Linked DNA regions of Mus musculus. The protein of the gene in region 1 purifies or fractionates together with the protein of each later gene. This does not show direct contact. Links are inferred from orthologs where the notes say so. Each region holds a gene or a part of one and is shown on either strand. Other genes may lie near its edges.

Region 1 (11,062 bases):
CTGAATGTAGTCTTTTGGTTCCCAGTTATCTTATTTGTAAGAAGAGATTAAATAGAACCTTCTCTTAAGATTGTAATGAGAACTTAATAAAATGGCTTGTATAGAGTGATGATGGTTGTCAGGAGGCAGAGGCAGGTGGATTTCTGACTTTGAGACCAGCCAGGTCTACAGAGTGAGTTCCAGGACAGCCAGAGCTACACAGAGAAACCCTGACTCACGAACCAAAAAACAGCAACAAATAGATGGTGTGTATAAAATAATTGGCCCAGGATATTAGTCTCTTAATTGTTACAAATGCAGTCATGATTATTGAAGACAAATTATTTTTTTAGGAATAAAATATTTTCAATGGTCCTTTAAAAAATAATGAAATCCTCTCCTTATAAAAATAATCACATCTTAAACAACACAAATTTCTCATAGAGAGGTTAGTAATGTTAGTTTAAATATGTGATGTAAATTGTGTAATAGAAGAGAGAAGCAGAGATAGAAGAATTAGATGTTCCAATTATGACCATTTATAGTTTTCATTTTATTTATTTATTTATTCATTTGTTTATTTGTTGTTATTTGGTTGGTTTTGGAGGCAGGGGCTCTCTATGTACTGGAACTGTGTAGCCCAGGCTATCCTCAAACTCACAGAGAGCCACCTGCTTCTCCCTCCTGAGTACTGGGATTAGAGGCGTGCACTACTACATCTGGTCCCAACTATATTTTAACCTTAGATCCTAAATTTAGATCCTCTAAACAGAGTATTTAGCATGACAGATGGAGCAAAAATAAACAAAACAACAACAAACCCAAGTCCCAAGCATTAGGGGAAAGTTACTTTGTAGAAGAGAAGGCAGAACTCAGATACTGTCCTAAAAAGTAGGGTTCAGAAGAGCCTCAGCAGAAAGGGGCCTCATAGCCTGAGGTGGTCCAGACAAGGTGATCAGGAGCAATGACAGCTATGACTCCCACAACTGGAGAAGAAAAACCCAAGCACAGCATTTTCAGTGAGCAGTGTATGAATAAGTGGATGTGCGGATGCTGAACGGGTGGATCAGTGGATGAATCAGGGGGTGATTGAGTACTCAAATGATTGGCCAAATGGGTAGATAAGTTGTATTAACCATATAAAAATATGCAGAGGAGCATTACAATCACATTCAGGTTAGAAGGAATGAATATGCAAATAGTAGCTGTGTCCAGAGCACAACTTTTGAGTTTGGAGAACTGGTACTTCAGTAGCTCCTCAGGTTGAGGACAGGGCAGGCAGGCAGGGTGTATGGTCTAGAGCCACTGGAGCTTTCTCTAAAGAGTTTTGATTTTTGTCTTATAGACTACCTAGACATCAGACAGACCTTGAAAAACCACTACCTCATTCTTCTATCTCTGCTTCTCTCTTCTACTGTTTACTTAGACTTTTAATCAATTTTAGCTTTCTTAAATAAAGACAATTGATTTTATTTTCAGTAGGTGTCTGTACACCTACTGAAAGCCATCTTTCATACCCCTAGTGAACCTCCCTTATGTATGTAGGCCTTAAAAAGCATGGTGAAGGTTTTGCCTACAGGGACTGCTAATGTCATCAGTGAGAGACCAACAGTCATCCAAGGGAAGGAGCTGGAGTTCTAAGATGAGAGGAACAGTGAGGCGTCCCTTTTGCTCTGCTGCAGGCAGGACATGAGTAGCTGAGGCGAAGCTATGGCACAAAGGCTACAGAAGACAGACAGGAAATCAGTGGCTCTCTTTCTCCTTCCATCCCTCTTCTGTTCCTCTCTGCAGAGTGTCTTTATAGTTCCATCAAAGCAAGTCTCCACCCCAAAAGCATAGGGTACAAGGTCTATAAATACAAGCGCAGCAAGAGCTTTCACTCTGCAGAGGACCTGAGACTGCAGAAAACTGATGAAAGCACCCAGATAAATTTATCTAGGGTTCAAGATCTTCTCTGTGAAAGGTGAACCAAGAAACCATTTCTAAATTGAGTCAAACCTAGAGAAATACACAGTTAGTTTGTAGATTTCGCAACAGTACTTTATACATCAAGAGACATAGTATCCATAGGCAGGAAAAGAGTAAAAGATTCTGGTGTCCTGTGTTTACTCTGCAGTCTCTGACCAAATGGCTAGAATTGAGTTTTTCAGAGCTTGACTGTGACCTTTTTAGTAAGTACCTCATTCAGAAGGCTCTCGCTCTGTTCTGCCCCCTTTTATTCTGCAGTGCAAACCAATACCATACATGTGGAAGGGGCTTAAAGATCTCGATCTCTGCCTGGAAAGATAGCTCACCCAGAATTCTTCTAGGACAGTGATTTCACCTCTTTATAATTACAAACCCAGAGACAGCATACCATGCCCTACATTGCACAGTTATCTCTCACTAATCATCTTATGGCTTTAAATCCTTTTGAAAAGCAATGAATACAGATTTAAAACTACCATGGGGCTCAGAAACTAACTCAGAAGCTGAAATGTATATTTTTCAAAAAGAAAAGACTATTTTTTTAAGATTCTCAACACCGGGTGCGGGAATAGATTACCTCCAGCATTGTAATGATCTTAAGGAGTTGCTGAATTAAATCATTTAGACATTTGCTGAAGAGTCTTGGAGTCTTCTAACATGCCAGTGAGGATTTGCAGAATGCATCACTTGAGCACAGAAACATATGTCATCACTTTTCAGTCCCAGAATCCAGATGTACTTGAAGCCCTGCCATCCTGCCACTGACTCTTTTAAGATAGGGTTTTATATGTCACAGATTGGCCTAGAGCCCCTTGGGCTGGCTAGGCAACCATTCTGAGGAAAACCTTCAACATCCCCTCCTACCACTTCTGCCTAGTGGGTGCTATGGTTACAGGTAGTCACAAGCAAACTAGTTAAAGCAGTACTGGGGAATCAAACACAGGGCTTTTTACATGCTGGACAAACTCTTTACCAACTGTATAACATCTGCATAACATCTGCAACCCAAACTTAATACTTGTTTTCAAGAACTCCTTCAAACTAGGAATGTATATGAAGCTTTTTTTATTCTTCTTCTGAGGTCTGTTTCATAGATAGATCAAAGCTAGATGGTGCTGAATCATTTAGTAACTATATTTGTAGTTGCTAAATTTTATAGGAAAAGTGGGGAGGAGGGAGGTGATGCTAAAAACCCCAAAAGTGACTAAAAACCCCAAAAGGGCAGTCAGTGAATCTAGTTTGTTCATACCCAGGTCTCCAATGCATTTGAGTCCCAGAGCCTCAAGCAATGTGCCTTGCATTGAATAAGTAAAAAGGATGAGGGAGAATTCTTTGGCTTCTCAACCACGGGGGCTGCAGTAACTAATACCTATTGCTGGCTTACACCAGCAATGGCTAAACTCCTTCCTCAAGTTCCAAATCCATCAGTGGCTCTTGTTTCTTACCCGCATGTGGTTTTTATTGTAAGGTCTACGTAAAAGTAAAACCCACATATGCCACAGAGCATCCTCCTAGCTGATCAGAAAAAGGATTGTCTGCATCCCTGCAGAACCCTTACAGTGTCCAAGTTTCCTGTTCCTCACACTGCACTGGCCACAACCAGGTCTGACAGCAGGGCGGAGCAAGTAGAATGGGTCTCTAGAGAGGCTCTGTGGCATCATGGGTGTGTGCTCCCCTGGGAATTACTAAGGACAGCAACTGAATCTGCCACATAAAGGAGACAGGGATCCTGGGAACATGTAGGTTGTGGTTCTCAGTCTGCAGAGCAGCACTGCAGCTTATTCTAAAAATAAGGTAAGGAAAGTCTCGTCCAGAATTATTTTTGTTTTACATATTGAAGTGGTTTACTGAACTCTTTTTAAATTTTTACTTAACAGCCCTTTCTGGGGTGGAAATAGTATAACATGATATGAGGGAAAGTTATGCTTAATTATACATGGTTAGGATTGTTGGTAAGAAATTCTTGGCAGGGGGAGGGTTGGTAGGCTTTGGCTCTGTTTTTTGATGGGAGTCTAGCAGCTGCTATTTTATTTCTTAAAATAACATGGCTTAACTTTTATTTCAAATGTCATTGAAGGAAATTTTTTCTTTAAAACTAACTATTAAAATATTAACTGGTGCTCACTGAGTTTTTCTGTGGCTAACACGGTTGAACACTTGTACCCAGTATCTCTTTGGGCTTGTTACAGTCTCACATAAGTAAATACTAGGGGCTCAAGGTGAATTCTGTGAATGCTGAGATGTTGATTCAGATCCAGTCTGAGAAACATTACAGCGTACTGATGCGGATCTTAACTTTCATGAGTCTTCTTTATTCCTCATCTATAAACTAGAGACCATGCCCATTAAAAAACAAATTTCATCTGAGATTATTTTTTCTTTTCTGGATGCTGTGCCAAAATACCCTGAGAGAAGCAGTTCAAGGAAGAGTGGGCTTATTCAGGCTCAAAGTTTGCAGGTGTAGCTAATAGCTGTATGGAAGACAAGGGAGCATGGGCTTCAAGTAGTTGGTCTACCACATTCAATCAGCTGAGAGAGGAACATGTGCATGCTACTCTATACAATCCCAGGTCTCTTTTAGGGAATGATGCCACCCATGGTAGACGTGCCTTCCTACCTCAGTTAATGTAATCAATGTAATTTCCACACAGACATGCCTAGCGTATCATCTTCCAGCTGATTCTAGGTTCTGTCAAGTTGACAATGAACTCTAGCCATCACACATATACAAGTTAATATGTACTCAAAAATAAGCATATGGATTGAATAAATTGATCTCTCAAGGAAGACAATCTATGACACATTTCCACATCTTAGATAAAAGGAGACAGCAATAGGCCCGTCAGCCTCTACTGATCCAAAGGTGTAAGAGGACAGTGATTGTTTGAGAAGTGTTATTGCTATGTTGTGGAGAGGAGCTCTAGAATGGAATTGAGAAAATTCCCAAAGGGCCTAAGGCTGCTTTTGGAATACTTTATGGTACATAATTAATCATTAGCTGTAGATATTCAATTACATATTTAAAAGCACCTGTTTCCAGAAATTAGGAATGTAGATGCTAATTGCCTACTTATTTTTGTGTTCTTTATTTTTAAGGCTCATATACATATAATTTCATTTTAGAGCGACAAAATTCATCCCATCCCCAGTATTTATATCACATACAAGGATGGGGTCATGACTTTTCTTTGGCCTTTGAAAGTTAGAAGCCACTTTTTATTGACAAAAATATCTTAAATTTTTCATTATATATGATCGGTATGCAAGGTAGTGTTTTATATACAAATATATATTATGCATTGGGAATATTCGTTCCATGCCCCCTTACCCGCAACTTTTCCCATCTCTCCTTTCCTATCATACCGTAAATGCATTTACAACACACATCCATTTTTGTATAAAAGCATGAAGTGTAAGAACTCTAACCAACCAAGCACGCATTTGTCTTTCTGAGGCTTAATTTGGATCTACTGTGCTATAAACAGCATACTTTATCCTATCTTTTCAAATAGGAACTTTTCACACCATATAAATTAACTCCATATTCTAGGTTCCATTAAAAAGGTAGGTAATTTAATGTGACTGTCTATGTAGTATCACGCCTGACCTGTCATCACTTGTCCTTTGATAGTCTTCCAAAATTAGGTCACTGTCACTTCCTGCGTGGATTCAGAGTCTTCCTGCTCATAGAAGATTTTGTTTTTCAGTTCCCTGACACTCACCTAGTTTTCGTAGTTCTGGTACTTCTCATTGCCTTCCGGGTAAACTATATTCTTTTGTTTTTGGTTTTTGGTTTTTCAAGACAGGGTTTCTCTGTGTAGCCCTGGCTGTCCTGGAACTCACTCTGTAGACAAGGCTGGCCTTGAACTCAGAAATCAGCCTGCCTCTGCCTCCCAAGTGCTGGGATTAAAGGCGTGTGCCACCACTGCCTGGCTGGTAAACTACATTCTTAATGGGCAGATGACCATGAACCACTTGGTCCTGATATATATGTCCTACTCTTTGCTACACATGTAGTTTGTATTTAAGTTCTTTTTTTCTCCCCCCTGAGACAGGGTTTCTCTATATAGCCCTGGCTGTCCTGGCATTTACTTTGTTGACCAGGCTGGCCTCTGCTTCCCCAGTGCTGGAATGAAGGCATGTACCACCACGCCCAGCTCTGCATTTAAGTTCTTAATTGCTAAAATTCCTATCAGGGTCCGTGCCTCACATAGACCTTTGTGTTTGTTTCATATGCTCTGATCTACTGGTAAATTAAATTCATTAAATCACCCTTTCAAAACTGCTCTTATCCCACAGACTTTTAGTCATGTTTATTCTGTGTTCTACCAAGGAAAGTATTGTTCATCTTCACGGATTGAATGATTTTGCTGTTTTCATCGTAATTACCATGTTAAAATTTAGCTTGCATTTCCATGAGTACATTCTCTTATCCTAGCCATCGGGCTCCATATAGCATGTCAGTTAAGATGCTCTTTTATCAGCTACAAACAAATGACCCTTTCTTCTGTTTGTCATACATGTACCCCAACTAGTCGCCAACCTCATTCTATGCCATGGCCATCCTTAGGATTGTTTCCTTGGAAAAGATAATTGTATGACTTCAAAGCCCCACTCACCACCACACCTTTATTTTCCTCTGTGCTGACATTTGCTGTGAACTTGCCAGTGGTAATCTATGAGCAAGTTGTGGTCTCAGTCTCTGGAACCCTCTTGTAACTCATTCATGTCTCTCCTAACCCAGGGCCTTAAAGCTGCTGACAACGACCCCACGGCGCCACCGTATGACTCCCTCTTAGTCTTTGACTACGAGGGCAGCGGCTCCACGGCTGGCTCCTTGAGCTCCCTCAACTCCTCCAGTAGCGGTGGGGACCAGGACTATGACTACCTGAATGACTGGGGACCCCGCTTCAAGAAACTGGCGGACATGTACGGCGGTGGTGACGACTGAACGGCAGGACGGACTTGGCTTTTGGACAAGTATGAACAGTTTCACCTGATATTCCCAAAAAAAAGCATACAGAAGCTAGGCTTTAACTCTGTAGTCCACTAGCACCGTGCTTGCTGGAGGCTTTGGCGTAGGCTGCGAACCAGTTTGGGCTCCCAGGGAATATCAGTGATCCAATACTGTCTGGAAAACACCGAGCTCAGCTACACTTGAATTTTACAGTAAAGAAGCACTGGGATTTATGTGCCTTTTTGTACCTTTTTCAGATTGGAATTAGTTTTCTGTTTAAGGCTTTAATGGTACTGATTTCTGAAATGATAAGGAAAAGACAAAATATTTTGTGGCGGGAGCAGAAAGTTAAATGTGATACGCTTCAACCCACTTTTGTTACAATGCATTTGCTTTTGTTAAGATACAGAACGAAACAACCAGATTAAAAAAAATTAACTCATGGAGTGATTTTGTTACCTTTGGGGTGGGGGGGATGAGACCACAAGATAGGAAAATGTACATTACTTCTAGTTTTAGACTTTAGATTTTTTTTTTTCACTAAAATCTTAAAACTTACGCAGCTGGTTGCAGATAAAGGGAGTTTTCATATCACCAATTTGTAGCAAAATTGAATTTTTTCATAAACTAGAATGTTAGACACATTTTGGTCTTAATCCATGTACACTTTTTTATTTTCTGTATTTTTTCCACCTCGCTGTAAAAATGGTGTGTGTACATAATGTTTTATCAGCATAGACTATGGAGGAGTGCAGAGAACTCGGAACATGTGTATGTATTATTTGGACTTTGGATTCAGGTTTTTTGCATGTTAATATCTTTCGTTATGGGTAAAGTATTTACAAAACAAAGTGACATTTGATTCAACTGTTGAGCTGTAGTTAGAATACTCAATTTTTAATTTTTTAATTTTTTTTAAATTTTTTTATTTTCTTTTTGTTTGTTTCGTTTTGGGGAGGGGTAAAAGTTCTTAGCACAAGTGTTTTACATAATTTGTACCAAAAAAATTACACACAAAAAAAAAAAAAGAAAAGAAAAGAAAAGTGAAAGGGGTGGCCTGGTACTGGCAGCACTAGCAAGTGTGTGTTTTTAAAAAACAAAACAAACAAACAAAAAAATAAATAAAAAGAGGAAAAAGAAAAAAAAAAAAGCTTTTAAACTGGAGAGACTTCTGAAACAGCTTTGCGTCTGTGTTGTGTACCAGAATACAAACAATACACCTCTGACCCCAGCGTTCTGAATAAAAAGCTAATTTTGGATCTGGTGACTGGTTTGAACTTTTTCCTTTCTCTTCTGGAGCTGCACTGCTTGTTGCAGAAACCCCAAGAGCTAGTCAGCCCTTGGGAGCAGCAGCCTCAGTGTGTGTGTTTGTCCTCAGCTTGCCCTCAGCCCCTTCCTACGGAAACGCCTAGTATGGCAACCACGTATTCCAAACCACTGCCACGTGACAGATCACCATCGGCACAGAAGAAAGACACCAGTTGTCTTGAAAAGGAACTTAGTAGCAACAGTATAAAAAGGATGTCATAAACTGCACTGAACACCATGAAATTGCTAGCTCTCCTTTTGTTTCCACCCAAGCTTGTGGCTTTGCTGAGGTGGGGGCTGGGTGTGGCTTTGGGAGCAGCAATGGACGCCGGCTGGTTCTCCTGTACTTCAGGGGAGTCTTTCTATGTCCTCAGTAAAGCATGCTCAGGCTTATCTCCTGACTCTAGTTCAATTTTTGTTTTAGAGATGTGTGTAGTATGTGCCACAATGAAGAACAAAGAGAGAAAAACAGGCTAAGTTTTATAAAACTGTTTATGTCTCTTACTGTGATTCATAATTGAATTTTTATGAGAATTGAGAGAATACTCACTATTTTTCTATTTGCATTCATAGGCATCACACCATATATTCATATACTTTAGACTTTAGAAAACATACAACATACCCTTCAATAATTCCATTATTTTCTTCCCAACATAAAGGTTGTTGTATATACTTAGTAAAATTTGTTTTTCTGTTGACTAACTCAGTGGGCAGTTCTTTGTTGTTACTGCTCTGACCTATAGATGCTAGGACTCTGGATTTCCGAAACAAAAACCTACTAAATTGGAACAGATTTGCTTAAAATGGATTCATAGATTATGCCCCCATGCTGTTTGTACATTTAAAATGAAAACTGAACTGACTTTCAAGTTCAAACATGAAATTTCTATCAAGTAGATATTTTTAAGTGATCTGAGTATAGTGGTACACATCTACAATTCCAGCATTTGGAGGCAAAGGCAAGAGGGTCATCACGCGTTAGAGACCACCTTGCTCTGAAAAGCAAGTTCCAAGCCAGGCAAGGCTATATAGCAAGAGCATGCCTCACACACACACACACACACACACACACACATTTTCAAAACTTTAATTTTTACAGATACTATCCACTGCTATTGTTCCTTTATAAAAACATTTCTAAAACAGATTTCAGAAAACCAGTAAAGAGTAGATGGTCTCATTTGGCCACAAATGGATTTTCTATTCAACTGGTCATAATTCATGGTTCTTTTTATCCAAATAATTTTATACACATTTGCATATAGATTTTATATCAATTTATATTCATAAAAATAAGGTTACATATTATATATTTTTCTGTGACTTTCCTGTGTCACAAGACTATATCTTGGATGCTTTTCCATATTACTATATATATTTCCATATTTTATATATATATATATATATATGTATATATATATATATATATATATATACTTCTACTTCATCCTTTTTAACTGCTACATAGAATTCCATAATATGGACTTAATAGGGTTTTTTATTGAATCATTTCTTAATTTGTTTCCTTTTTCATGATTAAAAATGATTCCACAGTAAACACTCTCGTGCAAGCCTCTGCATGTGGGAGTATTTTTCCAAATTAGAAGCTTGGAGATGGAATTACATGATTCAAGAAACCAGAGTGAAGTTAATTAAACATAGCTAAAATTATAAATGTTTGGTATTGCTTCAACGAGCCTTTTAGCTAAAAGAAGCAGCTTTGTAAAACCAGCTACAGAATGCAAGCTGGTCTAAGCAAGACCTTATTCTCTTTTCTGTGCAAAATACCCATAAAGTCAAGCCCTGGAATAGCTTCAGGTGTTCTGCAAAATGGCTTACATATGTAATTAATAAAGCCCACGAATCTACTCCCCCTTACTCGCAGCAGTTTGGATGTAATGCACATTAAAGGTTTGCCGGGAGGGGACTTGTGAATTGGCCTTTGCTTCCAAGGCACCCTGAACCCTTATGTGGAAGAATATTCACTCAACAATCATTCTCTCACTTCAACACATACAGTACGTGTGCACATAGTACTACTACCACTACCACCAATAATAATAATAATAATAATAATAATAATAATAATAATAATAATAGAAGTTTGCCATTCAGATGGGCACCATGAGGTTCCTCCTGAAGATCTCTCTCTTTATGTGTAAAGTATCTATGTTGCCTCAAGTCTGTTTTCTTTCCCCTATGGACTTTATCATTTTTGCCCCGACTAATAAGAAAGAGTTTGTCACAAGCTTTTTTTTTTTTTCCTGGTAGTTTGCTAGTCTTCTGAATTCACTGCAGTGTTTTTGTAGCACAGCAGTTTTTCATATTTTTTTTAGGATCCGCTATATTTCAAAAGTAGATTTCTGTGATTTTTTTCTCTCCCAATTTAGCACTTTCCTCCATCTTGATCCATAATGTTGAAAGTCAGCCTCTGAACAGAATGTCGAATGTAAGGTCTGATTTCCAGTCATTATTTGTTAAACATTTCAACCTTGACCCAGTCATGTGACACGGAATCTTTACCTATACATTTCTCGTGTATATAATGACTTCTTGGTCTTTTATTCTGTTTAGTTGGGTCATTGATTTTTCTGTTTGGTGCTATCCTGTCATTTAGATAAGCCATTTCCCATGATGGTCTCATCAATAAAGATTTTCTATTATTTATTTTTCTGCATTTTCCTTGTTCATGAGTTTCAGAAATATTTTGTCAAGTACGACAACAAATTGTATTTCATCTTTTACTGAGTTGTAGAAAATTAATAATGTCGCTTCCCGTCCAGTTCTCCATATTTTCATACTATAGGGACTTACTAAACATCTAAATTGTGTGCTTTATTTTGTGCT
Region 2 (11,062 bases), on another chromosome or scaffold:
ACAGCATTCAGTTGAGCATGGTGGACCGTGAGTTTGAAGCCCCTGGCACCCAACGAGAGGTAGATTCTTAAGGGAGTAGTTTGCCAAGATTTGAACAGGTCTATAGAGCTCAGAAGGCTGGGAGCTGGAGGAGAGGAAGCCCTGGTTTAGCTTGACCTCCTGGAATATGAGATTCAGGAACTCTGAGGGAGCCCTGGGCGTCCCAGAGAAACCTGTCGGACAGCTTCCCTGCCCCACCCAGTCTCTCATCCAATGGCTGACGGTGTGCTACAGCCTCTGCAGCCTTTCCCAGGGGACTCCAGTGGAGCGAGGGCAGGTCTACAGAGCTCAGCAGCCCTCTGAAACCCTTAGTTCCTTTTCTACTGGAAATGGTGGGTGGGGGCAGCTGGTGAGTGAGCCTGTGCTAGGCTGGAGGGATCTGGCTGTTTCCTGTCTCCACACCAGAGCTAGAGAACGCAAAAACCATGGAGCTTATCCTTAATGACCTTACTGCAGCCCTACTGTGCCCCAGGCCGTCTTCTGGGCTGGGTGCCCTTTCGCTTCACACCTGCACCTTGCTGTCTGCAACCCTCTGAGGCCCTTGAGGCTATGGTAGGGCTCCAGGAGAAGGGTAGATCTCAGCTATAGCTGAGTTGAAACTGGGGGTAATGGTGTCTCCCTAGCCTGCTGATGTTGTGCTCCTGTCTTTTTGTCTTCAGCAGCCACCATGGAGGTGATGAACCTTATTGAGCAGCCCATCAAGGTGACAGAGTGGCAACAGACATACACCTACGACTCGGGCATCCACTCCGGCGTCAATACCTGTGTGCCCTCTGTAAGCAGCAAGGGCATCATGGATGAGGATGATGCCTGCGGCAGACAGTACACACTCAAGAAGACTACCACCTATACACAAGGGGTGCCACAGAACCAAGGTCTGGACCCCAGGGTTTTTTTTTTTTTTTCTTTTGGGTTTTCCGAGACAGGGGTTCTCTGTGTAGCCCTGGAACACCTCTGTAGATCAGGCTGGTTTTGAACTCACAGAGATCTGCCTGCCTCCGCCTCCCGAAGGCTGGAATGCACCACCACCACGCCTGGCTTCACAGTGTCCACTCTTGAGGACACGGGAAGTCTGAAGGGGACATGTGGCAACCCAGAGATAGATACAGAAGTCACCCGGGTGAATTCTGAACGTGTAGGGAGGCCTAGGCACTGACCCAGGGTGCTATTGGAGCCCAAAGTTTTTAGCTTCTGGGATCTCAGGAGTGTACTAAGGTGACTTTATTGATACCCCTCCGGGTGGGGGCTGGCAAGATCTGAGATTACTGGGAAGGTATTCTTTTCACTCCAGGAACCTCATGTCTGATGAGAGAGACAGGGGATACTCCCCCACACACCCACACACACCCAGGGTTCAAGCTTAGACTGGGCTAGCACATGACATACAGATGTACTGAGGACGGGCCTGGGGAAACTGATTCAGTTACAGGTTCCTGTCACAAAGGCCAATACTCTACCAGTCCAGATGTTCCCTTCCTTTCTGGGACAAAGGTGCACATGGCTTTAGGACTGTCATTCGCAGATGCCCCCAGGGCCCTAAATGTTCCAGGGGATGAGATTTGGGGCCTGGACAGTTGCAGGATGAGTTGTGGCTGGTGAGGGCTCTATGAACTGAGCCTCTGTGTCCCAGGTCTCCTTCCTTGGAACCTCTCTGTGCCTGGCTGGGCCAGTGTACTCCTAGGAGCTAAAGGAAAGTGTATAGGTGGGAGAGTCCTGTAGGCAGCCTCTCCTTCCCCATTAGTTAGAGAATGACCTTGTTCCTGCCCTCTCTACTAGGGCATTAGGGCGTTGGCCATAGCAGGGCTATATGGGACTTTTTCTTTGAATAGCCCCAGCCTACCCAGAGGGAGAACCCAGGGTTTCCCTTGAGGATTCTTGCTCCTGCCTTCTCAAAGCCAGCCTCCTGTCCTGTCTCTTGATTGGCTATGTGGTCTTGGCTGGTGCTCGGGGACTTCTTTCGGCCCCCTGTTCAGGGAGAGAGTTGCTACTCTATGGAGGATGAGTTGTGTAGTTAGACTAAGGAAGTTTAGCTTGTCTAATCTTGTGACTGGGCTGCCCTGCTGGTTACAGGAGGAACAGCGGGGCTCTGGGCTCCTGAGTCCACTGTTTTTAGGACCTCCGTGTCCAGTGTCCTGAAAGCTGGAGATAGTATTGTACTTGCCTTGTGAGATTATTGTTGACAGATGAAATAAGGTGCTTAGCACACTGTCAGGCACACAGGCACTCCACCATTAGGTATTTCTTTTTGTCTGTCATTTCTGTGTGTGTGTCTATGTGCACATATGTGCACGGGGACCCCTGGAGACCAGAAGGTGTCCTTTGGAGCCTTTAGAGCTGGAGTTACATTGTTTGTGAGCTACCTGATGTGGGTGCAGGGATTGGAACTCTGATCCTCATGATAAAACTGCAGTACCCTAAGCTCCTGAGCCACCTCTCCAGCCCCTGGTTTTGTTTTTGAGACAGTCTCATGTAGACTAGGCTGTCTTAAACTCACTGTGTAGCCAAGGATGCCCCTCGATTTCTGATCCCCTTGCTGCCACCTCTGGAAGAGTGTAATTGCACAAGTGTGCCACCATGCCTGCTTTTATTCATTGCTGGGAGCAGAACCGTGTTAGGCAAGCATTCATCCAGCCAAAGCCGCTGAGCTGGCCATCGTAGCAGAAGTATATGATGTCCCAGTTTCTTGGTAGGCTGAGGCAGGAGGATTATAAGTACAAGATCTACCTGAGTACGAAGTAAGTTTAAAGCCAACTTGGGAAACTTAAAGTAGTTTTAATTTTTTTAAGTGTGTGAGTGTGTGCCGGCATGTATGTTATGTATATATACCAAGTGGGTGCAGTGCTTATGGTGGCAAGAAGAAGGTGCCAGAACCTCCTGGAACTGGAGTTAGATATGGCTGGGAGCCACCACGTAGGTGCTAGGAATGGACCCTGTGTCCTCTGCAGGAGCAGTATGTGCTCTTAATGGCAGAACCATTCCTCCAGCCCCTAATTCTTTTTTTAAAGACTGGAAATATAGCTCAGTGGTAAAGTGCTTGCTGAACAAATATGTGGCCCTACGTTTACTTCCTAGAACTGTACTTCAATAAATACATATTCTGCTGCAGACATTTTTGTAATGATAGGTGTCAGACATGAGTCTTTTAAAATCAAATCATGATCTTGGTTGTCATAGAGTTGGATGAGCTAGGAGGGCCTCATGCTCTCAATGGGATGATACAGACAAGGGCGATGATGGTCCCCTAAGACCCTGGTTAGGTTCAGAATCATGAGTGATGCCCTGTACTTTGGAGAAACATGAGGGAGCTTGGAGCCACACCTTCAAGGCTTGCCTTGCTCTTCAGGGTCCCAGTAAAATCTCCTGTAGCTCAGTCCTATGTCATTTGGCTTTCAGGTGACCTGGAATACCAGATGTCCACAACGGCCAGAGCCAAGCGGGTGCGGGAGGCCATGTGTCCAGGGGTCTCAGGCGAGGACAGTTCTCTACTGCTGGCCACCCAGGTGGAGGGGCAGACAACCAATCTGCAGCGCCTGGCCGAACCATCCCAGTTGCTCAAGTCGGCCATCGTCCATCTCATCAACTACCAGGATGATGCAGAGCTGGCCACCCGGGCTCTGCCTGAGCTCACCAAGCTGCTCAACGATGAGGACCCGGTCTGTGAAGGGCCTGGAGGTGGGGTGGGATGGAGCTGGCTGTCCTCAGAGGGAGGGGTCATCTAAGGATGCCACGGCCTTTGCCTTCCTTCCCTCTGTGGAGGAGGAGCCTGAGGCTATCTGCTCAAGGTCTCACACACTTCCTCCAGGTAGTGGTGACCAAGGCGGCTATGATCGTGAACCAGCTGTCCAAGAAGGAGGCATCCCGCCGGGCTCTAATGGGCTCGCCCCAGCTGGTGGCGGCGGTGGTGCGGACTATGCAGAACACCAGTGACCTGGATACTGCCCGGTGTACCACCAGCATCCTGCACAACCTCTCTCACCACCGAGAGGGCTTGCTCGCCATATTCAAGTCTGGAGGCATCCCTGCCCTAGTCCGAATGCTCAGGTACTTGTTTCTCGGCTGCATGGGAGCCAGGGGCCTCCCAGCATCCCGTTTCCTGGGCTTCCAATACAAGTTGTTACAAAGAATGGTTGAGAGTGTCCAAAGGCAGAGCTTTGACAACTCTGGGGGTGGAGCTTTGACAACTCTGGGGGTGGAGCTTTGACAACTCTGGGGGTGGAGCTTTGACAACTGAGTATACTTGGTCAGAGTAGATGAGGGGCAGGCTATCCTAGCAGGAGAGAACAGCATGGCTGACCCCCCCCCCCCCAGTTGTGCTTCCTCCTCACCCCGTGGCCTGGTACTGATGTAAATGGGAGTTCTTTGAGGGTAGAAGTTGATTTCACTCCCCTCTTATCCTCTCCCACAGCTTCTCCTGTATGACCTTACACACAGTAGTGACTCAGCTGCCCAGGGACCTAGCATGTAATTAGCACCGTGCGGAACCTCAGATGCGAGAGTAGAGAGAAGATGCACTGTGTGCCAATGTCTTTAAGAGTGGGGCTGGCTGGGCATAGTGGGGCTCTCCTTTAATCCCAGCCCTCAAGAGGTCGAGAGACATGCAGATGTCTATGAGTTCCAGGCCAACCTGATCTATACAGAGAGTTCTAGGATAGCCAGGGCTCCATAGTGAGAACCTGTGTCCAAAAAGAAAAAAGAAAGGAAGGGTGGGATTGGGTCTGGGGGTTGGCTCAGTCAATAGAGTGTTTGTTTACCTCTCCAGCACCCACATGAATATGCTAGATGCCATAAAGCGCTTTACTGGCAGTGGGGAAGCAGAAACCAGAAGCATCCCTGGGGCTTGCTGGCTGACCAGTTTAGCCTAATGGGTGCCAGGCCAGTAAGAGAGCCTGTGTCTAAAGAAGGGGACTGTGTTCCTAAGGTACACACCTGAGTTTGTCTTCTGGCCTCCATACACGTTCATTCACATACACACACACACACACACACACACACACACACACACACATGAGCAAAATTTAAAAAGCTTTGTGCTTAAGGAAGGATGAGATTTTGGTAAGGGTATATTTGCATGGGGGGTGTTGATTTAGGGTGAGCTCTCTGGATGTAGCAGGGACTCCTTCCAGACCCACATTCCGGCAACTGGCTCACACAGGTCCTCTCTGTTCCTCAGTTCCCCCGTAGAATCTGTCCTGTTCTACGCCATCACCACACTGCACAACCTGCTGCTCTATCAGGAGGGCGCCAAGATGGCGGTGCGTCTGGCAGACGGGCTGCAGAAGATGGTGCCCCTACTCAACAAGAACAACCCTAAGTTCCTGGCCATCACTACTGACTGCCTGCAGCTCCTGGCCTATGGCAACCAGGAGAGCAAGGTGGGTCCCTCCACCAAAGCCTACAGCAGCATCGTAGTGGCTTCTGGCCACTTCCGGAAAGGCATATTGATGTGTCTACACAGATGAATGTGTGTCTTACCCTAGTTCTGAATTCTTCAGAACTAATGATTTAAGGATGAGAAAAGAATTAGGGATCAGGGTATAACTCAGTGATAGAATAGAATGATGCTGAGTGTCATTGGATTCAGTCCTTAGAGATGAAAAGAGGGAAGGGGTCGGGGGTGGTGGCGCATGCCTTTAATCCCAGCACTTGGGAGGCAGATGCAGGCGGATTTCTGAGTTCGAGGCCAGCCTGGTCTACAAAGTGAGTTCCAGGACAGCCAAGGCTACACAGAGAAACCCTGTCTCGAAAAACCAAAAAAAAAAAAAAAAAAAAAGAGGGAAGGGTGGAAAGATGGCTTGGAGGCCAGAAAAGGGTAATAGATCCCCTAGAACTGAAATTACCGATTGTTATAAGCCACCATATGGGTGCTGGGAATCCAACCTAGGTTCTCTGGAAAAGCCACCAGTGCTCCTAACTCCTGAGCCGTCTCCAGCCCCCTGTGTATTTTAGACAGGTTCTAACTAACCCGGGCTAACCTGGAATCCTACATCTTCTTGTCTCGGTCTCCCAACTGCTGGTGTGCAACACCAGACCTGGCAGAGCTCAAAAGGTCTTTTGATTTTTATTTATTTACTTTTAAGCACGTCTAGACTTACTCCGTGGGTTAGCTCTCTTTCCAAAAGGACTACAGTTCATCACTGTCAGTGGTAGTGGCTGTGACTAGCTTTCCTTTGCTACATCCTTGCCAGCATTTGATATCATCGTCCTCACCCCCCAAACCCCCGAGTTTGTTGGCTTGATAGTCTCAAAAGCATTTACAGCTTAGCAGAAGCTTCATAAAGACAGCTTCTTCATCCCCCCACCCCTCCATGCCTTCTGTCTGACACTCAGTCTTTCTCTCCCCCCCCCCCAACCCCCGACAGCTGATCATCCTGGCCAATGGGGGACCCCAAGGGCTTGTGCAGATCATGAGGAACTACAGCTACGAGAAGCTTCTGTGGACCACCAGCCGTGTGCTCAAGGTGCTCTCCGTGTGTCCTAGCAACAAGCCCGCCATCGTGGAGGCTGGTGAGTGTGAGAACCACAAGGTGGCTTGTGGGGGAACCCAAGGGTAGTTTAAGTTCTCAAACCTTAAGAGCTCTTGCTAGTTTTCCAGAGGACCTAAGTTTGGTTCCCAATATCCACATCTGGTGACTTACAACTGTCTGTAGCTCAAATTGGGAGGGGCTGGGGCTGGAGAGATGGCTTAGTGGTTAAGAGCAATGACTGCTCTTCCAGAGGTCCAGAGTTCAAATCCCAGCAACCACATGGTGGCTTACAAACATCTGTAATGACATCTGATGCCCTCTTCTGGTGTGTCTGAAGACAGCTACAGTATACTTATATATAACAATAAATAAATAAATCTTCTTTTTTTTTTTTTTCAAGACAGGGTTTCTCTGTATAGCCCTGGCTGTCCTGGAACTCACTTTGTAGATCAGGCTGGCCTCGAACTCAGAAATCCACCTGCCTCTGCCTCCCGAGTGCTGGGATTAAAGGCATGTGCCACCATGCTTGGCTATAAATAAATAAATCTTAAAAAAAAAAATTGGGATGGTCTGATGCCCTTTTCTGGGTACTACACAACCCCCCTCCACCTACCACTCCATCCCCCCCCCCCCCGCCCCGACACACACACACAAGTAATAATGATCTTTAAAAATAAAAACAGAGCCTGGTAGTGGTGGCACATGCCTTTAGTCCCAGCACTTGGGAGGCAGAGGCAGGCGGATTTCTGAGTTCGAGGCCAGCCTGGTCTACAGAGTGAGTTCCAGACAGCCAGGGCTACACAGAGCAACCCTGTCTGGAAAGACCAAAACAAACAAACAAACAAACAAACAAACAAACAAAAAAGAGTGACCTCTAAGGTTAGGAGACTCAGGGTAGGGTCTCTGCCCTGTCAATCTGGCTCCCTTGGAGCTGACAAGGCTCCTGTCCCCTCCCCAGGTGGGATGCAGGCTCTGGGCAAGCACTTGACAAGCAACAGTCCCCGCCTGGTGCAGAACTGCCTGTGGACTCTGCGCAATCTCTCGGATGTAGCCACCAAGCAGGTGAGACAGGAGTCTGGACCTGGGCCAGTCTCTTAAACCATGCCAGCCTTCCACCTGGGCAGATGACCTCTGGGACCTGTGAGCCCTCCTCCTTCATGGCTAAGGCTGAAAAGTTCCAGATGGCTGTCACACCTTTATTTAGTAGGGGGCTTTCGTCCTGCTTAGGGTTTGGGAGAGGAAGAGGAAGTGGGCTGACATCTTTAAGTTGGGGTTCAGGTAAGGGGACAGTTTGGGTCTAGACTCTGGGACAGGACCAGTACTACAGGGGCTGGTGAGATGGCTCAGTGGTTAAGAGCATTTGTCTGTGGCTCTGGTTACAGAGCATCTGATGTCCTCTTCTGGCCTCTGAGGGCACCGGGCACACACATATGGTGCACAGATACACAGGCAGGCAACCAGACTTCCCTCTCCATGCTTAACCATCACCATGCCACCAAGCAAGTATCCTCCATGGGCTAGCATTTTGCGTGGCCTCCGTGGGCATGCGCTCTCCGTCATGTAGAGGGGGAGCAAGCAGCCCTATTGATCGTGGAAGAAACCCAGGCTCAGTGTTGAGAGAGCCCGTGTTCAGAGCTAGTAAGTGGCAGAGCTGTCATTCTGACCCCGTGATGTGTATCTCCAAGGCCTAGACCCTTTCTGCGCCACTGCTAGCCCTATAAAGCTCTCCCTGGGAAAAGAGAGATATTTGAATTAGGGATTTTTTTTTAAGTAGATTTAGCTTGCGGACCCCCTGGTGTGACAGAGAAGGCCCAGCAAAGTAAAAAGTAGCTAAAAGCTGAGGCCTATGACCCCAAAGCCCTTGCTAACTTCCCCTTGCTAACTTCCTCCTGACCAGAGGTCTCCTGCGGCCAGCAGGAATGAAGCACACTAGCCTTAGAGGCAGGTCTGCAGCTGTGGGTCTGTGGAAGCGCTCCAGCCTTTCTCAGCCTCCTGCTAAGGGCTTCCCTCAGGGCATGGGAGGCTGTGAGGTCAAGGTTCCCAGCTAGATACAAGCAAGCCCTAGCCCTTCGGCCTGTCCATTCCCCCTTGGACCTATTGGAGAGGCTGTATAGAGATGGCCGTGTCCCTTACCCTGCATGCGCTTCCTGTCTCAGGAGGGCCTGGAGAGTGTGCTGAAGATCCTGGTCAACCAACTGAGTGTAGATGACGTCAACGTCCTCACCTGTGCCACGGGCACCCTCTCCAACCTGACCTGCAACAACAGCAAAAACAAGACGCTGGTGACACAGAACAGTGGCGTGGAGGCGCTCATCCACGCCATCCTGAGAGCCGGAGACAAAGATGACATCACAGAGCCCGCTGTCTGTGCCCTGCGCCACCTTACCAGCCGTCACCCCGAGGCTGAGATGGCCCAGAACTCTGTGCGCCTCAACTATGGAATCCCGGCCATTGTGAAACTGCTCAACCAGCCAAACCAGTGGCCACTGGTCAAGGTACCCAGTAAAGGCCACAGGCACTGGGGTAGGGGTAGGTGAGGGGTCTGTCCATGTTCAGGGTCATAGGGATATATGGTAAGGATCCAGAAGAGCAGGGCCTAGAAATAGGAAGCAGCTCCCATGGCCTTTTTTGCTTCAACATTGGCTCTGCTCTTAGAGACTGAGTCTTTTCATTTATCTGTCCCACCATATGGTTTTTTTTTTTCTCGTTTTTCGAGACAGGGCTTCTCTGTGTAGTCTTGGCAGTCCTGGAACTCACTCTGTAGACCAGGCTGGCCTCAAACTCAGAAATCCGCCTGCCTCTGCCTCCAGAGTGCTGGGATTAAAGTCGTGCGCCACCACCGCCCAGCTATTATTTATTTTTAGAGTCTTCACTTATTTATTTTGTTTTGGGGGGACAGGGTCTCACTCTATAGCTCTGATGGTCCTGGAGTTCTGTAGACCAGGCTGGCCTCGAACTCACAGAGATTCTTCTGCCTCTGCCTCCCGAGTACGGGGGATTGAAGGTGTTTGTCACCATTCCTGACTCTGGCTATTTTTTGAAACAAGGACCCTGAGATGTAACCCAGGCTGTCCTTAGACTTTCAATCCTCCTGCCTCAGGCTCCTGACTGCTGAGAATACTATAGACATGTCCCACCTTAGCAATCTAGTTCCTTTATTACTATTATTATTATTAAAAAAAAAAGTACAGTCTCAGGTATCCCAAGCTAACCTCAGATTGTAGCCAAGGTTCGCCTTGATCCTCCTGCCTCAGCCTCTCCCTACTTGCTGGGGTAAGTTCTGTGCCATCACACCCACTCTGTGCGGTGCTGGGTATCCAACCCTTTGTGTGTCCTAACTGAGCTAAAGCCCCAACCTTAGCTCTAGATTCCTTCAGTTCTGTGCCTACAGCCCCGCCCACAAGCCCCCAGTTCCGTTCCAGGAGTAGCCAGGATGCTCCTGACTCTGCGGTTGTTGCTGAAGTGGGACTCAGATTCAGAAGAGATGACAGGAAGGACAAAATACCTAAAGCCGGGGATCAGGGATCCTCCAGATGTTTAAGGACTACCCGCCCCTCCACTCATCACTGCCTCCTTTCTTGCCAGGCAACTATTGGCCTGATCCGGAACCTGGCTCTGTGCCCAGCCAACCATGCCCCTCTGCAGGAGGCCGCGGTCATTCCCCGCCTCGTCCAGCTGTTGGTCAAGGCCCACCAGGACGCCCAGCGCCATGTGGCTGCAGGCACCCAGCAGCCCTACACGGATGGTGTGAGGATGGAGGAGATCGTGGAAGGCTGCACCGGAGCCCTGCACATCCTCGCCCGGGATCCCATGAACCGCATGGAGATCTTCCGGCTCAACACCATTCCCCTGTTTGTCCAGGTGAGTCCGGTACAGATGGGCAGATCTGTCCCCAGGTGCTGCTGAGGGGTTTGGAATGTGTGGGCCAGGAGTAGTCTAGGTCTGTGTAGAGAAGGGTGGATAAGTGGCTTTCCGAACTTAGATCACGAGAGCCTTCTTGAAGTGCAGCCACATGCAGACATGAAGAGCATCTGCAGATTCAAGAAACAGGAAAGGGACAAACATGGAACCTAGGAGCCAGCGCCTCAGCACACCGGAGCTCATTAACACTGGGTCCTAACAGTGTGGTGCTCACAGAGTCAACAAGTGGCTCCCAGGTGGCTCATAAGCAGAATGCTCGGCCCAGGAATTTACAGAAATGAAATTTAGCTCCCAGTGAGAGGCCATTTTCCACTGTCAAATTGGCCAGCTTGAGGGTTGGATAAACTGAGCGTCTTGGGTCTCGCCTACTTGGGGGAAGGGCAGTCTGGGAGCTATCCTTTGGCCTGGAATTCAGATGGGACTCTCTCTTGGGGAAAATCATTTAGCATAACTGAACCGAGATAACTACTGCAGACACAGCTGTTAAAAACAAGCCCTTTGTCTAATGGTGAGGAAGTAGTTTTGAAGGAAACCACTGGGTGTGGTGGTACATGCTTCTCATTCCAGCTCTGAGGAGCGGAGGCAGGAGGATTAGCCATGCAAGACCAGCCTTGGATATACTCAGTGAGCTCAAGGCT
Region 3 (10,292 bases), on another chromosome or scaffold:
GTACATGTCTATAATTAGACACCCTGTTAGCATGAAGGAAACAAGAATTTTGAGGATCTTGGGGTACTGACAAGGCAACCTGAGAGAAGATGGATTGAGTTATGCATTTAGGATTGATCTTTTAATACTCAAAACATGGAGACTTGGATTTTCTTGGAAGTCATCATAAGCATTCTCTTTTCCAACTGAACCTTTTTGTTTTATGTCCCTAAGCTTGTGGAGAATTGTGTTTGCCTCCTCCGGAACTTATCATACCAAGTTCATCGTGAAATCCCACAGGCAGAGCGTTACCAGGAGGCCCTTCCTACTGTGGCTAACAGTACTGGGCCACACGCTGCCAGTTGCTTTGGAGCCAAGAAGGGCAAAGGTGAGTTTTGCTTAGTTCCAGTACTTTAATATGGGACAAGAGGAACACTTAGCTTTATAGGGATTTAATAAATAGCGTGGAAGTCTCCCTAGTAGAGTTGTGTCCTTTTGCTCTGTTGCTGCTCCTCCCTTGTTCTACATGCCTTGACGGGTGGTAAGGTGGTGGTGGTGGTGGTGGTGGTGGTGTGTGAGGATGGTGACGATTGTTAGTGTATTGGCATCTGGGGCAGTGAAGGACAAGAACTCAGCTACACCGGGGTCTTCCTCCCTATTCCTCCTCCTTCTCTGCTTTCTTGTGTACTTGCCCATGATCCTGTTGACATCTTTCTCCTGCGTTTTCTTCCTTCATTTCTCTCCTCGCTTTCCACCTTGGTGATGCACTGGAAGATGAGTGGTTCTCCAGAGGTGAGTGCAATCTTTTAAGGCGCTTGTCTCCTAACTTGCATGGTTTGGTTCTTACCTTTCTTAATATCTCTTTGTCTAACCTTCCCCATGGATGCATGTAGGAAAACTTAGTTGAGGGAAAGCATTGGAATAAGTTTAAATCTTCTGGGTTGTGGTTTTACATGTTGTTTCTGGGCAGCAGTCCCTTTTATCAGAACTCAGTTAACAGCCACAGGAGTGGTCATCCTTTTGGACAGTCTACTGCCTGTTTTGGTCTTCCTTGTTTCTGCATCATCCTGTTGGGACAGTTATGTGTGGGGTTTCTCTTCTTTTGCCTCTTTTGATGCTGCATCTCTGATCTGAAGATTCTGACTGAAGGATGAAAAACTGCCAGGTCGAATCTTTCCTTTTTTAAAAAATTATTTCCCCTGTTCTCTCCACCCTTTCTCCATTTTCATAGGGAAAAAGCCTACAGAGGATCCAGCAAATGATACAGTGGATTTCCCTAAAAGAACTAGTCCTGCTCGAGGTAAGCTACCCTCCTTATTCTCCAGAGACTTTGGATATGGTAACATGTTCTGTGCGCTATGTTAACATTTCTCTCTGACTTAATGGATTTGAGGTTACAGTGAAAGTGTTGGGAAAAGTCACAGTATTTAGTCTAGAGCCAAAACTAGGCTGAGTATAATGGTGCATGCCTGTAGCCTTAGTACTGCAGGCAGGAGGATTGCTGCCAGTTCAAAGCCTTGTGGAGGTACAGAGGGAGAGCATGCCTCAAAAAAAAAAAAAAAAAAAAAAAAAAGAAAAGAAAAGAAAAGAAAAGAAAAGAAAAGAGAGAGACTTAGCTTTCTGAATGGCCACTGCAGCTTTTTGGACCTTGAGCCTGACTGTTAGAAGACATGTCTTTATCAGGCTTTAGATGTTTGGACCCAGGATATTAATGAATATAAACTTGCTGGCTTCCTATAAATATAAAAGTTGTTAATTAAATTATGTTAAATCTCGGGCTGTCTATCATTTAGTTACATTCATGATGGGGAGAATGACCGGGTTAAATTAGAAATACTTTGTTTTACATGTTGAATCATTAAGCCTGGCTGCTTATGGTACAAACAAGTCTAAAGTTAGCTATGAGGTACAAGTCAAGGAGAGGGGAATTGAATGCGACTAAGTTAATGTCTGTTCTCTTTTTACCATGGATTAGTTGCTGTTTGTTTGTTTTTGAGACAGGGCCACACTGTGACCCTGGTTGTCCTGGAATTCTGTCTGTAGACCAGGCTGGCTTCAAACTCACAGAGCCGCCTGCCTCTGCCTCAAAAGTACTGGGATTGAAAGTGTATGACACTGCTTTGGGCTAGAGTAGTTATTCTTAAAGCATGGGATCAGCTGGGTATGGTGGTACAGGCTTGTAGTCCTTACTCAGAGATTAAGACAGGAGGATTGATGTGAATTTGAAGCCAGTCTGCTTGACATTGCAAGACCGTGTCTTAAAAGACAAAACAAAAACCTAAGAAAAAAGAGACATGAAATCAAGGCTCTGAATGTGCTTATGATTTAATAGGGGAATTGAGGTGCCTAGTGATGCAGGAGCAGCAGTGCAGGCAGCCGAGCTTGGTTTGTAGGCATTGATTAGTGCTTTCTGTCTTGCCCTTTCTTGTGCAGGCTATGAACTCTTATTTCAGCCAGAAGTGGTGCGAATATACATTTCACTCCTTAAGGAGAGCAAGACGCCTGCCATCTTAGAAGCCTCGGCCGGAGCTATCCAGAACTTGTGTGCTGGGCGTTGGACAGTGAGTACCTCTAAGAAAATGGATTTGGGGATAGGGGTGTAGATAAGTAGTTTGCTACCATCGGTAACTTTTTCACCGCTTGCAATGTGCTTCCTATCTCCTAGTATGGCAGATACATCCGCTCTGCTCTTCGTCAGGAGAAGGCTCTCTCTGCCATAGCTGAGCTCCTTACGAGTGAGCATGAGCGAGTAGTAAAAGCTGCTTCTGGGGCACTGAGAAATCTGGCTGTGGATGCTCGGAACAAAGAGTTAATTGGTAAGGATCTGAACCAGTGCCTAGCACAGTGTCTGGATTCCACTAAATGTTTACTCATTTGTTGACATCACTGAAGAGAAGGATACTATAGTCTTCCATAGTTTATGTTTCTTAGTGTTGAAGGTTCACGGTTTAGTGCACCTTAAAAAAAGCAAGAAGTGATGATTCTTCTAGAACATTATAACCACTATTATTTGTTGACTATCTGCTTTCTCTATCTATAGGCATTGTTAAGAACTTTTTTTTTTTTTTTCATTTGCCCAGAATTAAACTAGTAACTTAGTGGCAGAGTCCAAGTTACTGATTTTTTAAAAAATTCATAAAGAATGTTATGCCTCACTGGGCAGTGGTAGGACACACCCTTAATCCCAGCAGTTGGGAGGCAGAGGCAGGCGGATTTCTGAGTTCGAGGCCAGCCTGGTCTACAGAGTGAGTTCCAGGACAGCCAGGGCTATACAGAGAAACCCTGTCTCAAAAAAATAAAATTAAAAAAAAAATTGCTATGTCTCATAGATTATCATAAGATTATACTGAACATACTGTTTTCACTAGTGTGTCTGAAGAGACCAGATAGTATATTTAATATCCAGCATTGCATTGTCTCTGTTCACTTGAGGAAATAGATGAAGGGCAGTGAGTTTATGGCTGTTTCATGTTCTTTGCGCCTTTGAGATAATCTCATGTGATAATGGAGTTGGTTTGTATGGCTAGAACTTACACTTGGCCTGATTCCTGCTATCACTGTACTGTGAGCCACCTCCTGACCTTTTCTTTTACTGCTGTAGGCAAGCATGCTATTCCTAACTTGGTAAAGAATCTGCCAGGAGGTCAACAGAACTCCTCCTGGAATTTTTCTGAAGATACTGTGGTCTCCATATTGAACACCATCAACGAAGTTATCGCTGAGAACTTAGAAGCTGCCAAAAAGCTTCGAGAGACGCAGGGTATTGAGAAGCTGGTGTTGATCAACAAATCAGGGTGAGCTTTTACTTAATCACAGCCAAAAGAATTTGAGTATGAAAGAAGAAAGTTTTTAGAAAAGAATTTTCCTCTTCCATTCTGTGAGATTACAGCCCCTTCCTGTGACATATGGAGAGGTGTTGATCTATTTTCATTCTTAATGTTTGTCTATAAATTGGCATGGATTGTTATATCAAACTACTTATGTCAGTGTTTCCGACAGTATAGGATTTGGTGAAATTTGACTTCCATGATTACATTTTTATATCCTTGTGCTGTTACAGCAGTAGTTTTCACATGTGGGTTTCAAGTTATGAAGTAGCAATAAATATAAATTTATGTTTCGGGTCACCATAGCGTGAGGAACTATATGTAGCATTAGGAAGGTTGAGAACCACTTTGTTAGAGAGTATAGGTTCTAAAATTCCCTGTTCTGAAAACTAAACTTTGTATGGCGTTACTTTCCTTCACAGGAATCGTTCAGAAAAAGAAGTCCGGGCAGCAGCTCTTGTCCTGCAGACAATCTGGGGCTATAAGGAGCTTCGGAAGCCACTGGAAAAAGAAGGATGGAAGAAATCAGACTTCCAGGTGCAACAACTCTTGACGGAAACTTTGACTTTTCTTCTCTTTTACTCCTCTGTCTTCTGTTTCTTCTAAGTCCAAGTCTTTTCCAAGATAGTAAAGACACTACTTTTTAGTACAGTGGTGCTCACAGTTTATTTTTGCTGAAGTAGTTCTACTCTCTCAATGTTGAACATACAGTAAGTAGATGGTGCTGGTAGTAAATAGTGATAATATATGGCCACTGTGAGCTTGCTTCCTATCTTCTCAGATCCTTCCATGTACTTACCATTCTCTGATCCTTATACCTCTGTCTCCCACTAGCATTATAGATATGTGCTACTGCCTAGACTCAGACTCTTTCTGAGGAGTTATCGCTGTCAATAGGCACCTAGCATCTAAACCCTTTAGGAAGAATGTGTGAGTGAGGGCTTGGGTAGTGAACGTGGAGAAGGAAACCCATGCTGTTTAAGGGCTTCTGAAGCAGGAGGTGCATGGTTAGGAGGAGGGGCCAGGAAGAAGTGGGCATCTTCAGGTTTCTATGACACTGGGTTTTATGTTTGTCTCCAGGTGAATCTAAACAATGCATCTAGAAGCCAGAGCAGCCATTCATATGATGATAGCACTCTCCCCCTCATTGACCGGAATCAAAAATCAGGTATTGTTGCCAAGCGGTGCAGCCTTCTCTGTTTAGTGCTCCTGGAATTCTTTAATGGCTTACTAACTAAGAATAGGACATGCATTTATTCTAAATAAGCTGGACACAGAGTAGGGGAATAATGTTTTACATCATAGTTATAATGTGTAAGAGAATAGGTTTGAATTTAGGAATCTAACAAAGCAGTAAGGGGTGTGGTGGTGCACACTTGTAATCCCAGCTAGCACTCTGAATTGGGGAAGGAGGATCAGTAGTAAGGCAAGGCCAGCATTGGCTACACGACACCCTGGCTCAAGGGAAAACAAAACCAAAATCAAGACAGTTAGTAACCTGAGTGCAGCTCCTTTAATTTGCCTGTGAGCTTCAAGTTCCTGGAGAGTGAATCAGTTTTCTGTTTAATCTCTTCCTCTCTTAAATTTCCATTCTAATGACTAATGTGCCTGGCTAATTATTAGTGCTTTTCTAGTTGGAAAAAATAAAAACCATTGACAACCATAAAGTCCATTATTTCTAGTCCCAAGAAAACAACCCACTGCTATACTGTGTGTGTGTGATTGTGTTTGTGTTCGTGTGGTACTGGGGCTTGAACCCAGGCTTTCTAGGCAAGTTTTCTGTGTCCCTGAGGGAGAGCTTTTTAAACTGCTTTATCATGGATGAATTACATATTTAGTATTATATATTTTTTTCTATTTCACTAAAAGTATATACTGTAACCTTTCTTATCTTAAGATAAGGCTTTTGGCTTTTGATTCCACCCATGGCTTTTGGAGCGTGGTGTGAGGGCCCCAAGATTCTTAGACTTATGTGCCAAAGGCATAGCAGCAGTGCTTGCTGCTGGCGGCCCAACATAGATGAGGTGACGCTATTCTGAACAAGTCGTTTTTATTCCCATCTATTCTACAGTTAGAAAGTTACCTCCACTTAGGAGCATCCTGGTTGGAGCTATAAACGTTATATTTCTACCCCTAAGTACACGTTATTTGATGTGTACTGCTATGGATGAAATTCGGAGCTCTGGTGCTGTGTAGGGAGCCACTGTGGCTGTCTCGGGTTAGACTATTGACATTACTAGTTAGACTGCTGTTTTTATAGAGTGCTACTTTTCCTTATGAAGCAGCTGATACACAAGTGGTGATTATTTCAACATATTATTTGGCAAGCATTTCCTCAAAAATAAACACAAAAACTTTTATCACTTTGGTGAAAAAACTGATACTATTTTCTACCTGAGTAAAAAATACAATTTTGGAGCTGGGCATGGTGGCACACGCCTTTAATCCCAGCACTTGGGAGGCAGAGGCAGGCGGATTTCTGAGTTCGAGGCCAGCCTGGTCTACAGAGTGAGTTCCAGGACAGCCAGGGCTACACAGAGAAACCCTGTCTCGAAAAACAAACAAACAAAACAAAACAAAACCAAAAAAACAATTTTGGCTGAGTGTGGTGATTCATCCCAGCACTTGGAAGGCTAAGGCAGGAAGATTGCCCTTCATTTAAAGCCAGCATGGACTACATAGGGGTTCTAGGCCAGCTTGAGCTGTAGAATAAGACCCTGCCCCCAAGATCCCAAAGGAGAAAAGTACAGCCCAGAAAATCATACCCATGTTTCAGAGCTTAGTAACTTCCCACTACTTAAAGGACTTTCTTTAGGGCTATCAAGTGGCTCAGCAAGTAAGTTCACTTGCTACTGAGCCTGACAGGAGCCTGAGTTCCATTGATGAGAGAGAACTGACCCCTGAAAGTGGTCTTCAGACCTCTGTATTCATGTTATGCTGTGGATGGACACATACACTCACTCTCTCCCTCCCTCCCTCCCTCCCTCCCCCCCCTCTCCCTCCTACATGCACATTCATGCCCGTGCGCGCGCGCACACACACACACACACACACACACACACAGTATAATAATATAATTTCTCAGGCTTTTATGATTATATAAGTGGTGATATAAATGTATTTTTAAAATACACATACATAATAATATGTGTTCAATTTTACATTTGCATAGTTCTGTAAACTGTTATCTCTCAGGGAGACAGTGCCATAATATTTCAAAAATCTGCACAAGTAAATGTTACTCAACCCGTCTATTTTTTGTGGGTTTCTTGATGCAAAGTCTTACCATGGTTGCCCGGAGCAGGAACTTGTAGTGTTTCTGCCTTCTAAGTGCTAAAATTATGAGACTATGCTCTACTTCAGTCTGTTTTAGTAACCCAGAGTTAAAAGTGATATATAAAAGTGTTCAACAGTGCTCCCCACCTCAGGTTTGTTTTTTCATTAACATTTATTATTGTATATGATGTGTGTTGTGGGCACACACACTGTGGCCTTCGAGGGGAGGTTGTTCTTGCAGTTATACCTGACTTCTGGGTTCAGACTCAGACTGCCAGGCTTGTGCAGCAAGTGCTTGAGCCCCTTAGCCACCTTACCAGCCCACATACAGTGCTTTTTAAATTGAAGGCATTTATGATTATGCAAAAAAATAATTCTGATGTGGAATAGATGTTTACATTTCTGAATATAGTAATATCTGCTCATTCCATGCCAGTGAAAGTCATTTGCATCCTCATTTATTTCATATGTGTGTGATTGAGGACGAGGCAAATGCTTTATTTACTGTTGAACTATATCTTTAGCTAGACCCTTATAATTTTTAAGATTAAAGGGGCTTTGAGATGTAATGGCCCATATTGTTAAAGTCGTTGTCGTCCCCGTCCCCGTCCCCCCCCCCCCCCGCCCTTATTCTTTATTTTGTTTGGGTGTGAAGGTACATAAGTGGAGGTCAGAGGGAAACTTGAAGGGCTCAGTGTCTTCCACAGGTTGTTCCCAGGGATCCATTCGGCCATCAGGCTTGACAAATGCCTCTGAAAGGTTTCTTGTATTTGGGTGTCTATAGGAAGGGGTCAGAATTCTGCAAGGGCTTTCCTAGAACTGTAGGTTGTGATTAGTCTTGGCACATACTATGTGCTGAGTAAAACTTTATTGAATAAAGGCAAGGAAAGATGGCACTCCCAAAAGAAATGTCTACTTTATATAGATTCTGGTGTATTGGATTTTGACTTGGGTAACTTTCTAATTCCATATAGATAAGAAACCTGACCGGGAAGAAATTCCAATGAGCAATATGGGGTCAAACACAAAATCATTAGGTAGGTGGTGAATTCCTGTCTAATGTTGCAGAATAGTGTTTAATTGGGGTGAGTAGGAATATATTCTCTCTCTCCCTCTCCCTCTCTCTCTCTCTCTCTCTATCTCTCTCTCTCTCTCTCCAGGGTCTCAGGTCACATAGTCAGGTCTTGAACTCACTACACTTGAGTCTGATCTTGAACTCCTGATCCTCCTGCCTCTACTTCCCAAGTGCTGATATGATAGATATGCTCCACCATACCTGACTTACCATTTATCATCCTGAAGTGATTGATTATCTCATTTAAAAAGGATATCTGAAACTATAATACAATTTGATCAGTCTACTCTTTTTCTACATTTTCACATGTTGCTGTGGAGGGGACAATCTTGAACTTAAAAAACTTTTTAAAACCTTTTTCTTTTTTGAGACAGGTCTTTCTGTGTATTCATGGCTGTCCTGAAACTTGCTTTGTAGATCAGACTGGCCTTAAACTCACAGGGATATACCTATTTCTGCCTCCCCTGTGTTGGGACACTATCATGCCTAGCCAATTTATTTTATTCTGTATGTACGAGTGGGATTTTTTTTTGCCTGCATGTATGTGTGTTTACCAGGTGGCTCATGCTTTCAAACGTCAGAACCCATAGAACTGGAGTTAGGGCTGGTTATGAACCACCAAGTGAGTGATGGGAGTTGATCCAGGCCCTTGCAGTAGCAACAAGTGTGCTGAACTATCATCACTCTAGCCCCCTGACCTTGAATTCTTGATAGATCCTCTTCTTCCCACATATGTTCTCAGAAAGTCTCATGTGGCATATAACTAGTATAGCCCTAACTCTCTTTGTTTTTTCTCTTTACTCTCTACTGGTCTTTTTTTTTTTTTTAAGCAGGATTTCATAGCCCAGGTTAGCCGAGGATGACCTCAAATTCTTGTTCCTCCTTCCTATTTGCTATTCTATCTCATCATTCTACTTGGGTATATGAAGCCTTCTATGGGAATATCCTTCCCCTTTGTTCTTCTAAATTCTTTTCATTCCCAAAACCTAAACTCAAGTTGTGTTTTGCTTTATCAGTTTCTTTCAATTGTTAACATATTTCTCTGTCTTCTCTCAATTTCAGGGCTGTATCTCTTTTGTAGGCCAGGTCTCTTTAGTGTCACTCACCAAGGGATACACTGTTGTTTCTTGTTGTTATTGCTTTGTTGTTTTTGCAGTGGTGGGAATTGAATCTAGACTAACCACTCTACCACTGAAGTACATCCCCAGTATTGGGTATTTCTCATACACCATCTTTCCCATTATACTCAAGTTATGTGTAAGTGTTAAAAAGCACCAGTGTTTAATATCTTGTTGGTGCATCTAAAACAGTTCATTTCACAATCTAATTCACATATTCACATACATTGTATACTAGAAGGAATGTCTTATTTCTGTGTACTTTCTTCCTCTAGATAACAACTATTCCACACTGAATGAGAGAGGAGACCACAACAGAACACTGGACCGATCTGGGGATCTGGGTGATATGGAACCATTGAAGGGAGCACCCTTGATGGTAAATCCTTGTTATGTATTGCTGTGTATGAGGCTAATACTATTTTGAAACTGTATGATATATAAAATGGGAGGCGGCGGGAAGAAAAAGACAAATCTTTTTGGTAGGTTTTCTTTGATGCATCTTGATGGTTCTTGGGATGTTGCTCATTGGTTGTGTGGATGGATTTTGCAAGCGTTGCTGACGTCACTGACACTAACTAACCTGCTCTCGAGGACATCTCCCTGCTCTTGCACTTACCTGTTTAGGATGTTTGCCCTGTACTCTTAACAGGGTTTGTTCACTTTACAGATGTTGGGATTTCCCTTCCATCTGGCACACACTTAGAAAGTCTTACCTTGGTTCTCTTACTAACAAATTGCATGTGTTCACAGCAGGACGAGGGGCAGGAATCTTTGGAGGAAGAGTTGGATGTGTTGGTTTTGGATGATGAGGGGAACCAAGTGTCTTACTCCCCCATGGTATGTCCTCCAGTCACCCCTAAGATGGTCCTGAGGAAGGAGGTTGCTGTGTGCCTACTCTTTGCCAATCATGCTGATCTGATCAGGCCTGCGATACTTGTTTGAGCCGCATGGTACCCAAGGGTTCTACTTCTGTGATCACGACCTCTTCCCAGGCTGGGATGCAGCGGATGATCT

What was found.
Region 2: the proteins of Cdh2 (region 1) and Jup purify together in Homo sapiens (co-immunoprecipitation; 4 studies listed by BioGRID and IntAct, with this or other methods). This does not show direct contact. The link is inferred for Mus musculus from reciprocal best matches to the Homo sapiens genes CDH2 and JUP.
Region 3: the proteins of Cdh2 (region 1) and Ctnnd1 purify together in Homo sapiens (affinity purification with western blotting; 6 studies listed by BioGRID and IntAct, with this or other methods). This does not show direct contact. The link is inferred for Mus musculus from reciprocal best matches to the Homo sapiens genes CDH2 and CTNND1.

The regions. Positions count from the first base shown.
Region 1 is NC_000084.6:16,585,983-16,597,044, reverse strand, and holds the end of Cdh2 (cadherin-2 preproprotein), read left to right. Parts: intron 1-6,691; coding exon 6,692-6,898; 3' UTR 6,899-8,168; downstream 8,169-11,062. UniProt on the Homo sapiens protein: Calcium-dependent cell adhesion protein; preferentially mediates homotypic cell-cell adhesion by dimerization with a CDH2 chain from another cell. Cadherins may thus contribute to the sorting of heterogeneous cell types.
Region 2 is NC_000077.6:100,376,025-100,387,086, reverse strand, and holds part of Jup (junction plakoglobin), read left to right. Parts: intron 1-311; exon of another isoform or gene 312-591; intron 592-698; 5' UTR 699-706; coding exon 707-914; intron 915-3,432; coding exon 3,433-3,692; intron 3,693-3,841; coding exon 3,842-4,080; intron 4,081-5,209; coding exon 5,210-5,411; intron 5,412-6,398; coding exon 6,399-6,543; intron 6,544-7,461; coding exon 7,462-7,565; intron 7,566-8,659; coding exon 8,660-8,998; intron 8,999-10,088; coding exon 10,089-10,364; intron 10,365-11,062. UniProt on the Homo sapiens protein: Common junctional plaque protein. The membrane-associated plaques are architectural elements in an important strategic position to influence the arrangement and function of both the cytoskeleton and the cells within the tissue.
Region 3 is NC_000068.7:84,603,011-84,613,302, reverse strand, and holds part of Ctnnd1 (catenin delta-1), read left to right. Parts: intron 1-213; coding exon 214-367; intron 368-753; coding exon 754-771; intron 772-1,210; coding exon 1,211-1,279; intron 1,280-2,412; coding exon 2,413-2,540; intron 2,541-2,644; coding exon 2,645-2,795; intron 2,796-3,580; coding exon 3,581-3,773; intron 3,774-4,228; coding exon 4,229-4,343; intron 4,344-4,886; coding exon 4,887-4,974; intron 4,975-8,056; coding exon 8,057-8,119; intron 8,120-9,550; coding exon 9,551-9,654; intron 9,655-10,028; coding exon of another isoform or gene 10,029-10,115; intron 10,116-10,292. UniProt on the Homo sapiens protein: Key regulator of cell-cell adhesion that associates with and regulates the cell adhesion properties of both C-, E- and N-cadherins, being critical for their surface stability.